Rattus norvegicus: one gene and its partners. The protein of the gene in region 1 purifies or fractionates together with the protein of each later gene. This does not show direct contact. Links are inferred from orthologs where the notes say so. Each region holds a gene or a part of one and is shown on either strand. Other genes may lie near its edges.

What was found.
Region 2: the proteins of Stx7 (region 1) and Vamp8 purify together in Homo sapiens (affinity purification with mass spectrometry; 7 studies listed by BioGRID and IntAct, counting the BioPlex papers as one, with this or other methods). This does not show direct contact. The link is inferred for Rattus norvegicus from reciprocal best matches to the Homo sapiens genes STX7 and VAMP8.
Region 3: the proteins of Stx7 (region 1) and Bet1 purify together in Homo sapiens (affinity purification with mass spectrometry; 3 studies listed by BioGRID and IntAct, with this or other methods). This does not show direct contact. The link is inferred for Rattus norvegicus from reciprocal best matches to the Homo sapiens genes STX7 and BET1.

What each region holds. Positions count from the first base shown.
Region 1 is NC_086019.1:23,021,887-23,025,540, reverse strand, and holds part of Stx7 (syntaxin-7), read left to right. Parts: intron 1-704; coding exon 705-757; intron 758-1,378; coding exon 1,379-1,475; intron 1,476-2,924; coding exon 2,925-2,997; intron 2,998-3,654. UniProt on the Homo sapiens protein: May be involved in protein trafficking from the plasma membrane to the early endosome (EE) as well as in homotypic fusion of endocytic organelles. Mediates the endocytic trafficking from early endosomes to late endosomes and lysosomes.
Region 2 is NC_086022.1:106,003,135-106,006,888, reverse strand, and holds the start of Vamp8 (vesicle-associated membrane protein 8), read left to right. Parts: upstream 1-1,246; 5' UTR 1,247-1,384; coding exon 1,385-1,387; intron 1,388-3,577; coding exon 3,578-3,733; intron 3,734-3,754. UniProt on the Homo sapiens protein: SNAREs, soluble N-ethylmaleimide-sensitive factor-attachment protein receptors, are essential proteins for fusion of cellular membranes.
Region 3 is NC_086022.1:33,078,797-33,082,550, reverse strand, and holds the start of Bet1 (BET1 homolog), read left to right. Parts: upstream 1-1,388; 5' UTR 1,389-1,469; coding exon 1,470-1,488; intron 1,489-3,754. UniProt on the Homo sapiens protein: Required for vesicular transport from the ER to the Golgi complex. Functions as a SNARE involved in the docking process of ER-derived vesicles with the cis-Golgi membrane.

The DNA of each region.
Region 1 (3,654 bases):
ATATACTCACATGCACATATACACATACAAATGTACACACACATACATGAACACACCGTACATATACTCACATGTACATATACACATACAAATGTACATACACATACATGAACACACCATACATATGATCACATACACACACCCAAATATATCTATATATGCATACACATACCCATACATATACTCATATATACATACACACACCTATATATACACACATATGCATACACCCATACATGTGATCACATGTACATATACACACCCAAATGTACATACACATACATGAACACACCATACATATGATCACATACACACACCCAAATATATCTACATATGCATACACATACCCATACATATACTCATATATACATACACACACCTATATATACACACATATGCATACACCCATACATGTGATCACATGTACATATACACACCCAAATGTATGCATACACCCATACATATGCTCACATGCACATGCACACCCAGATGTGTACACACATATATACACACACCCATACATATGCTCACGTACCCATATATACACCCAAATGTATGCACATACATATGCACAGAAATGTATGCCTACACATGTATGCACAGACACATGAACACGTACTCATACAAAACACAGGGAAAATATGAGTGTTTTGTTACTTTTTCTTATTCTTGCTTTCTTTTTGTCCTCTAACCAAATTATTCAGGGTGGCTTTCCTGAAGACAGCTCAAAAGAGAAGAATTTTGTATCTTGGGAAAGGTAAGAAATAAGAAAACTGCTTTATAAATCAAAAAATAATTTTTGAGGTTCTCTATATTATAGTCCATGATGCAGAATGAAACCTTTTATTATAATATAAATAGTCTATTATTTATCAACTGAAATCATAGATTTGGGAAAATAAATACTTATAAAGTATTTATTTTGTAATATATAAATAGATCACACAAATAAACTTATTTTCTTACTTTTAAGAATAAAATATTCTTATATGAAGTTACCAAGTATGACTCTTAATGAGTACATCAAAAGCAGTATAAGCTAAAATTATGAGTAGAGTAAAAACGGGGTAAAATTTGTATAAAATGTCTATTTATGCCTACAAGTTTTTCTTTATTTATTGAGGTTTTTTGGAGACAGGATCTCACCGTGTTATCTAGGCTAACCTGGGATTCCCCATGTAGCCAGGACTGGCCTTAAGTTCTGGATCATTCTGCCTTACCCAGTGAGAACTGGGATTCTAGGCACGTATCACCATGGCTACTTATTTCAACACCTTTTAAATGAGCAGTAGTCTGATCTTGAGTCTGACCAGAATATCCTGTTCAGTAAGCGTGTCTAAGGAGTACATAAGTCTCCTTTCTGTGTTTGTTTTTATAGCCAAACACAGCCTCAAGTGCAAGTCCAAGATGAAGAAATCACAGAGGATGACCTCCGGCTCATTCATGAGAGAGAGTCTTCAATCAGACAGCTGGAAGTAAGCCTTACATGCCTATGCCCAACTGTTGCTCCAGTCAGACACCCGGAGAGCGCTAGAGAAGAAAACTCTTAAAACATCTGGCAGTTTGATGAAATGTCTAGTGTAGAATTTGGAATAATTCCTGTGTAGGAAACGATAGTGTTGGAACTGGGATGAGAAGCTATATGCCTCCTACATGGTTAAATCACCGTTCTCTTTAGTATTGAGAAAGCTCCACTCTAAAAATGAACACCACCCAAAGAACCTGGGCAGCGCCCCGAAGCCACCACACCATCCCTTCGTGAGTGAGGCTTTGGCAGTAGCTTTAAGAGAACTGTAATTTTCTTAGGGTGACCACCACGTCACAGAGAGGAAGGATTTGTTCCGTTGTAGCTCTGTTGAACTGATGCCACTCCTAACAGTGGGCTAATGAAGGTCTTCGTGTGCCAAGGCTCTGTGATAACACAGAGTTTTCATTCCATCCTCACACAAGCTCTTTAAACTTGCTAACTATGTCATCATCAGTGACATTTTTCAGATAGGCATACTAAGGCCATGATAGATATACAAACGTCCTAACACACTTAAAAAAAAAATAGTGTTTAGTTGGGAAAAATAAATGGGTATGTACTAAGGAAAATAAAGTTACAATTTATCCAATAAATTTCTTTTTTTTTCTTTTTTTTTTTTTATTAACTTGAGTATTTCCTATATACATTTCGAGTGTTATTCCCTTTCCCAGTTTCCCGGCAAACATCCCCCTCCCCCCTCCCCTTCCCTATGGGTGTTCCCCTCCCAACCCTCCCCCCATTGCCGCCCTCCCCCCAACAGTCTAGTTCACTGGGGGTTCAGTCTTAGCAGGACCCAGGGCTTCCCCTTCCACTGGTGCTCTTACTAGGATATTCATTGCTACCTATGAGGTCAGAGTCCAGGGTCAGTCCATGTATAGTCTTTAGGTTATCCAATAAATTTATAATCTGTTTACCCTCTGATGATGTCTATAATTTCACTATGATCTACCAGATACTCAAAGGTATTAACGCATGACTTTAAATTTATAAACATTTATACACAATTTATTGTAATTGACAAATTCCTGGATAAATTTTTATTGAAATACAAGGATATTCATATTCTTCTAATCAAATATTGGTTGTGACAATTATCAGGTTGAACTTAGTACTCCACAGCCTTCCTCAATTTCAGTCCTGCCTCACTTGAGGTAGTGTGTGTCACAGATTTACTTTGGACAACTAGAAGCCATCCAGAGGCTGTTTAGTTAGAAGTGTTTACACTAGTGTATTTTTCTGACGTTCCTAAAATGTATATATTACTTCTGAATGCATGCTTATATATGCATGAGTGGGTGTAAATTTGTTTCTTTTTTTCTTTTCTTTTGATTTTCCCATTGAAGGAGTGGGGACCGTGTTTGTAATAATGGATAATAACGTGTGATCTTTGTCTTAGGCTGACATTATGGACATTAACGAAATATTCAAAGACTTGGGGATGATGATTCATGAACAAGGAGATGTTATTGGTAAGTCCTGCTGCTGTGGACCGTTCACCTGTCACAGCTTTCTCAATGAGGAGAAAGCTTCTCTTCCATTTTTTCTGTAGTCTCTACAGTTTGCAGGCTGCCCTCGCCTACGTTTGCATTCCTGCTGATTGAAGGAAGCTCCATGTGCTTCCAAAGCTTGAAGCTCGGAGTGTAATCAGCGCCTCCTCATGGAGCCACATGGCATTGCAACCTACTTCCAGGGCTTGCTTTTCATTTTTATCCAAATAGGACAGGGGTCGTCTCGTGATATTTGTAACTGTGTGTGCTGTCTCGTTCTGTGGGAAATTGTTAGCTATTCGCCTGGTCATTTGTCCTGCCAATGACCAAATAGTTTTTGATAAATTAATGTAGCTGATTTAGATGCCAGGGGCCTGAGACCCGTGGCATTAACGCTTTAGATGTGAGATAGAACTGTGGAAGTGTGTCACGGATGAGGTCATTAAGGAAAGGAAAGTATGGGAGCTGGAGGGAGAGGTCAGTGATAAGGGCTCTTATTGTGTAAGCTGAGTCTGAGATCAGATACCTGTGAAAAGGAAGCTGGCTGTGGCACCGTGTTCCTCACCCCAGCACTGTCAAGTGCAAAGACTGGATCAGGTCCGGGGAGACCCTGTCTCCAAGAAATAAAGTGAAGGGTAG
Region 2 (3,754 bases), on another chromosome or scaffold:
CACACACATGCGCACACTTAAAAATAATAATGATAAATCTTTGTTTAAAGATTTTTTTTAAAGTGTTACTAGTTGCTTCAATTTGCTTCTGTAAAACTAAGCATGCAGTGTTTGTAGATGTAGCTCCTCCCTGAGTCCCTGAGCATGTACAAGGGAAAACACAAAAGTGTCTTAAAATGATTCCGAGATTCTAAATTTATTATAGCAAAAAGAAAAAAAAAAAAAAAGAAGACTTATTTGTTGGAGGAGCTAAGATTTCCTCCTTGACAATGTTATTTATTCTGGGGTGGGAAAGAATGTGTGTTCTCTTGGTGCCCTGTTATTGTTCTGTCTTGACAAACTCCATCCGGAGAAGAGCAGATTTTCTCTGGCGGAAAGCCACGTGTGGTGGAAAAACCCTTTCCGCTTAGGCCCCCTCCTAATCCATCTGACTCCTGACCAGGGTCACTAACCCCCACGGTGACCTTTGGAAGGAAATGCCGGACTGCTGAACTCCAGAAGGAAAGGAGGGGCTGGTGAGTGATCCATTTCCCTGACTGTCTCCTGTCCTGTGACAAGGCTAAGGTGCCCTGCCCCTGCTGTTTGTACTCCTCCTACTGCTGGAGGTCAACCTCAGCAACGAAGAATCCAAAGAGGAGGGCAAAGATTCCCCCAGGGCCAACTTGGAACTTTCCTGGAGATTTTAAAGACTTTAATTATGTGTATGTGTGTGTGTGTGTGTGTGTGTGTGTGTGCACATGTGTGTTCACATACCCTCAGAGGCCAGAAGAGGGCATCCGGACCCCCTAGAGCTGCGATACAGGTGTTTGTGAGCAGCCAGGTGTGGGTGCGGGACCTGAACTTGGGTCACTGCAGAAGCACCAGGTGATCTCAACTGCCCAGCCATCTCTCCAGCCCCGTTTTCTGGGGATTAAAATCCTCACTAAAGTGCTCTCTTCTCATCCAGGATGGCTCAGAGACAAAGGTTGCCCAGCAAGATTTTTTCACCTGTATATTCGTTGCTATCTAAATAAGGCTAATTTAAGTCAAAAAAACTAGAATTACTCCTTTGAAGCACAAAAAGAAGTTACTGAAAACTTAGCAGGGTTGTTGATCCTTCTTTTCTCCTTCTTGACAACTTAGACGCTTTCCCCTCCCCCACTCCCCTGCCCTGTTGCTTAAGCTTTTGTTTAGGAGGAGACTAGGAGGAGGGCAGTAGAGGGCGGCCGCCTACCTGGAGAAACCTGCAGTTAGTTACGTGTGACAGGAGCCCGAGAGGCTGGAGTCGCGGGATGGGCAGGAGGCGGGCAGAAAGTTGGAGTAAGCAGGAAGTGAAGCTGTAGCTGCCTTGGGTGGAAACAGACTAGGCGAAGTTCTGCTTTGAGAGGCCCAAGTGCTCCGAGACATGGTGAGTGACGTGGGGACTAGGAAAGAGAGATTTAGAGGAGCGGGATCGGGCCTGGGGGTTGCCTGTGTCGAGATAGGTAAGTTGGCGGCCGTCAGTAGGCTGGCCGGGTTGGGCCAGCGCTGCCTCTCTCTCCTTACTTTTGACAACTCGTCTACAAATAGCTCCGCACTCCGGGCCAGGGGTTCCCGACACTTCTCCACCTCCTTCTTCCCATGACCTCGGTGCTGGATGGGATCAGGGTTTCGGTGGGGGCTGGGGAACCCAAATTCCAAGCCGAGCTGCTGCGCCGCGCCCTCCCCCTCCTCCGCCTCCTCCAGCTGGGCCTGAGCCGGGTGTTGTGACATTACCGGACCACAAGTGCTCCTGCTCTTTGGTGTTCAGATTCCAGCCCAGCGGACTGGAGTTCTCCCCCCTTAGCCTCGCACTGTATCTACGCAGACACGCAGAGGATCTGCCTGGCCACAAAAAGCACCCCTCTTCTCTAGAAACATTAGCAACAGTGCCAAGGGTTTGTAAAGAAGCCAGATGGCGGTTCTCCCTGATAATCTAGCTTCAGCCCACACCCACGGCCAGTACCACGGCCCCCTGGGTCCCTAAGGGAGGAGTCAGGCCTTTTTCCTCCTTGTTCAAAAGCTTTATCTAGAGGCCTCCTGGAAGAAGACCTCAGCAGGAAGAACTTTTGTTAATATCTACATAAGCAGGCGGTGGTGTGCGGCCTACCAGGCGCTAAATTGTGGGGAAAGCAGAAGTGTGCGGTCCAACGGCACACGATGCCTTCTGGGGGCCACACCGACTGAACCAGGGTTACACTGCCCAGCAAGCTGGAACCAGAATTCACCAACAGCTGTCTGGAGAGGAACTTGGGTTGGGCCAGGCAAGGGTCCTTCTGCTGGCCAGCTCTCAGAGTTTTAGAGAGAACCCACTAGGACTGGGAAGAGGGAGGCTATGGGGACCAGTTAATAGTACTTTTCTGGGGCTGGGGATTTAGCTCAGTGGTAGAGCGCTTACCTAGGAAGCGCAAGGCCCTGGGTTCGATCCCCAGCTCCGAAAAAAAGAACCAAAAAAAAAAAAAAAATAGTACTTTTCTGTGCTCTGCTGAGGAGAACGGAAATCCAGTTCTGTTTTCTCCCCGACCCTCTTTGTGGTGTCAAAATGGGAGCAGTTGTGTGCTGTTTTTTCCTTGTCACCCTGAAACCCCCGAAGGTGGTTTGCAGTCCAGAATCAAATCTCATCTTCTGGGACTTAAAAAAAATGTCCTTATATGGCAGCCAAGATGGTTGGGTAGGTAAAAGTGCTTGCAGAGCAAGCCTGTCTGCCTGAATTCAATATCCTTCTCACTCCTGTCTGTCCAACTCTAGGAGACAATCCACTCATGAGAGTTGTCCTTTAACCTCCACATGTGTGCCATGGCATACATGTATATTCCCCAACACACACTTACTGATAATGTGTGTGCACACCCACGTATACACACCACACACACATACACACACACTGCACTTATGCCAGACTAAGGATGCGGTTCAGCTAACAGAGTGTTTGCCTGGCAAGCATGAAGCTCAGGGTTTGATCCCCAGCACCTGATAAAACAGGGGTGATGGGGCACATCTGTAATCTCAGCACAGGGTAAGTCAAGACCGGAGGATCAGATGTTCAAGGTCATCCTACTTAGGAAGTTTGAGGCTGGCCTAGGTTATATGAGACCCTGTCTCGGATAAATAAATTAATAAATCTGGGGAGGTGGCTCAGTGGACAAAGTGCTTGCCACATAAGCATGGAGATTTGACTTGGGTCCCTAGACCCATTTAGAAGAAAAGAAAACTCCAGGTGCGGTGGTGCAAGCACTCAGGTGCAGTGGCTCCCAGCACTCGGATGGTAGAGAAGGCTTTCTGTCCACCCTAATCTCAGAACCCCCGGCCAACAGAAGACCCAGCCTCTGGGAACAAAACCAAAAACCAAATGGCTGCTGAGGAATGACACCTGAGGCTGATCTGGGACATACACGCGCTTGCACCCACGTGAACGTTTCCATAGAACATTCCCCTTGTAAACAACTGAAGTATTAGAAGTGGCTAAAATCTCGGGTTGGGGATTTAGCTCAGTGGTAGAGCTACTTTGGTCCTTCCAACCTCCTCTGGCCTCTTGGATCCTCTGCTGCCCAGCCTAATTAACCCCTGTATTGACCTGCAGGAGGCCAGTGGGAGTGCCGGAAATGACCGAGTCAGGAACCTGCAGAGTGAGGTGGAGGGAGTCAAGAATATTATGACCCAGAATGTGGAGCGGATCTTGGCCCGAGGGGAGAACCTGGACCATCTCCGAAACAAGACAGAGGACTTGGAAGCCACGGTGAGGTTGGGAGAAAACTAG
Region 3 (3,754 bases), on another chromosome or scaffold:
CATCATCATTTAATCGCATTGCTTTTGGAGAATGGCGGCTTACTTTATCTTTATGAAGACTCTTTTAATGCTATTAAAGTTTATTTTCCCAGTTAATATATCACATTGTAAATCATTTCATGTGTATTTTACAGACACTGTCTTAAGGCAGAGACTTAAGCTGTAATTATAGTCAATGTTTAAGTTGGGAATTGACTTATATGATCAGTGTTTATAATGTATACTTTATAATAATAATAGTATAGTAGTTTCAGAAAGCTCTATTATAAATACCACATCACTGCCATACAGTAGCAACACAACTATATTAACATGGGCAGTAAATAACTATTGGCTTCAAAAAACATTATTTTTGTGTAACCTTGTAATGATCCTTTGATATTAACCACTATACTTCCACGCATCCTAACAAACTTTTAAGCCCATAATTGGACCCCATGCTCCACCCAAACAAGTATTAGGTATTTGTGTGTATTTGGGTTTTTTTCTGCCCATGTTCTTGGTTTTGTAAGTATCACTAGAACACTTAATTTTATCTACCCACTCCTCTTTGTCTATCTTTCCCTCTCCTGGCAGGATGAAGTCTGCAGGCCTGGGTAAGAAAGAGCTGAGGTTCGAAGTTTGGGGACCCTAGAACCTGCTGAGCCAGGAGTAGGGGCGTGGGAGGAAACTACTGGCCTTCTGTCAATGACTTTGGGGTTTGAAATACGCAAGTTATTTGCGTTATTTAAAAGGTCCCTAAGTAGGAGGGAGTGTTTAAAAGCTAAACATCACGGTTCTTTCCAGACATAGAGCAAATGCATTAAACGAGGAATGAGGAATGAGAGACTCCCCACTTCCCTACCAGATGTTCTACTGCGAAGATACAGATTTTTTTTTTCCCTTTCTATTCCACTGGGCAGGATCAGGAAGTAAGAGGATTGATCTTCCTTTAATGCTAAGAGGCTCAGACAGTATAGATGAGACTCTCGAACCAAGTTTGCACTGACTTACTCTCCTCGGACTTTGGGAGTGCAAGGGAAAATCAAGAAAGATGAGTCACCATCATCCAGGCCAGGGAGGAATAACTCTCCCCGGCTAAAGTTGGCACTAACATCATAAAGTCCCTTACTGGCAGCTCTGGAAGAGGTAAAGACCCAGACTCACAGGACTAGAGCCACAGCAGCAGCCTCTGCCCTTCCGGAAACCCCACCCGCTTCAGACTTGGTTCCTACCACGCCCCTCTTACCCTGTGCCCCAGAAGCCCGAAGACTACATTTCCCAGAATGCAACTAAAATCTCATTGCAGGGCGCCTATATGTGTCCGGGTGACGACATAAACCGGCGCGGTGTTTAGACTTTACTGATGTCGTGGCGCTCTGAGGCAAAAAGTTGTTTCTCTGAGGAGCCTTAGGACTGAAGCCGAGGTTGGGTGACCCTGGCCCTTTCCTACCCACTCTTCCTTGCCCTCCTTCCCCTCTCGTGGCAGGATGAGGCGTGCAGGCCTGGGTAAGAGCAGTGCTGAAGTTCGAAGTTTGGGGACCCGAGGACCTGCTGAACCGGGAGTAGGGGCGTGGGAGGAAAACTACCGGCCTTCTGTCAGTGACTTTGGAGTTCCAAAGCGAGTTGTTGGGTTCTTTGGAGAAGGTTCACATCATTTGTCCCAGTTACGAGCGGTTTCCTTAAGTTGAATTTAGACGAAAGTTTAAACCTATATGATACGTTGCACAGTGGTGAGTTGGTTAATAGTCTTAAGTTTTTCTTTCTCTATATGCTAGTTTTTGGGGAGTAGCCCTATTTCCCAAGCCTCGCCGTTTCCTTTGCTTTACTCATTCAGGATCTTACTACTACTACTACTACTACTACTACTACTACTACTACTACTACTATTACTACTACTACTACTACTACTACTATTACTACTACTACTACCATCACCTCCTCCTCCTCCTCCTCCTCCTCCTCCTCCTCCTCCTCCTCCTCCTCCTCCTCCTCCTCCTCCTCCTCCTCCTTCTCCTCCTCCTCCTCCTCCTCCTCTTTTTTAAAGAAGTGACATTTGGGGAGTGGGTATTAAGCTTTTAGCACAGCAATAACGATGTGTTAGTATGGTAACAGTGAGTTACAAAGGTTATGTGTCATTGCTAGCATTGCTAGAGTGCCTGTTGTGAAAGGTCTGGCGATTTACTTGGAACGTTTCTGAGCTAGACCTTGCCCTACTGCTAAGGCAATAGAAGATAGTTTTGATGACTTAACACTTGTTTTTGCCTTTATGGATCAGGGAAAGGAATAACCTAGTAATTACAGAAAGTAATTAGATTACTGTTTTCTGGTTCTGAAGTTCTTTCTCAATAATGTTTTAAAGAAGAAAGGGCAGAATACTTGAAAAAAGTGTATGAAATATTAAAAAGGATGTTGCCATTCTGTCATAAATTGGAATAATTAAAACAGTTTTAAAAAGTGTAATGTGTTTAAAGCCAGTAAATGGACACACACTTGAAATTAGGTAAGAAAAATAAATAAAGCCTCTTTTTCAACTCACAATTCACAGCTTGTTAGGATTTTTAATTTTATAAGAAGTTATACAATATTTATGACAGTGTGAAGACATAGTAGTATTTTTAGTAAGGTTGGTTGTAGGAATAGAATGAGCCACTGGAAAATAAGGGCAATGAAAGGTGTCAATAATATAGATATACAAGTTGCATGTGAAGGAATTTGTAAATTTAGCTGCACTCTTTGAAAGAAAGTAGTCCATCTCAACCTAACAAACTACTTTCAAACAAGATTAGTCACCTGTGCCTAAATTTTTCCATCACTAACAACATTAGACATTTATTGTGATATACCATGTGCTTCCCAAAGCTTCCAGTGTTACCAAGGGGAAGAAGACAAATTGCTTCTGAAGCAGATGACAAAATTATGATCCAAGGTGGTAACTTTTCATTCAGTACAAGTTAAGTTCAACAGATAGTGAATGCAGTAGCAATTTCATTATAAATGGCTCACTGTGTACCTCCTGAAGCCAGGGGAACTTGAAGGATGCCGGTGACAGTGACGATTGAGAGAAGTAAGTCCCAGGTGGGATGATTCAGAGTAGCCGTGAATGATGTGTACAAGAGATTGTAGTGAAGTCACCCTGAGTGAAGCTAGGACCCGGAGGCATTCCAGAGGTCTTGGTCTATTCAAGGAGTTTACACTTCGTCAGGCCAGTGACCTATTGGAATTTTGTTTGTGCATACTGTTTTTAATACATGCAAGTCACGGACTCGACAGTAGGTTTCTACCTCTGACTGAATGTGAGAATTACTCAGAAAGATGTTAAATTAGTTTTTCAATTAAATTAGAATCATCAGGCTTGAAATGCAGTGAGAAGAGGGGTAATTATTTGGTTAAGTATGTATCATTTAAATTGGTGTTAAATAATGAAGATTTTTAAAACTACCATAGTGTGTTGACCTGAATTTGAAATTTGAAAGAATGGTGAGTCTGATAGGCGTTCACATGTAAAACCTGCCACATTACACATGAGCTGTTAAATGAATCGACCTGATTATTGATAGAACCTGCTTCAAGGAAGCAGCACTTTTCAGAAATTACGTCAGCTGACGATGACCTTCAAGACTTGCCTTTCAACAGTTCTTTATAGTAGTAATTAATTCTCACTGAAAACTTAGGTCTCATTCATACTCAGGAATGGTAACTGTAGTATTTTATTTTAGCTTAGTTTGTTTCATTTTTCTGTTTGTGGGTGGAAGATGGTGCGAAGAAAGATCAA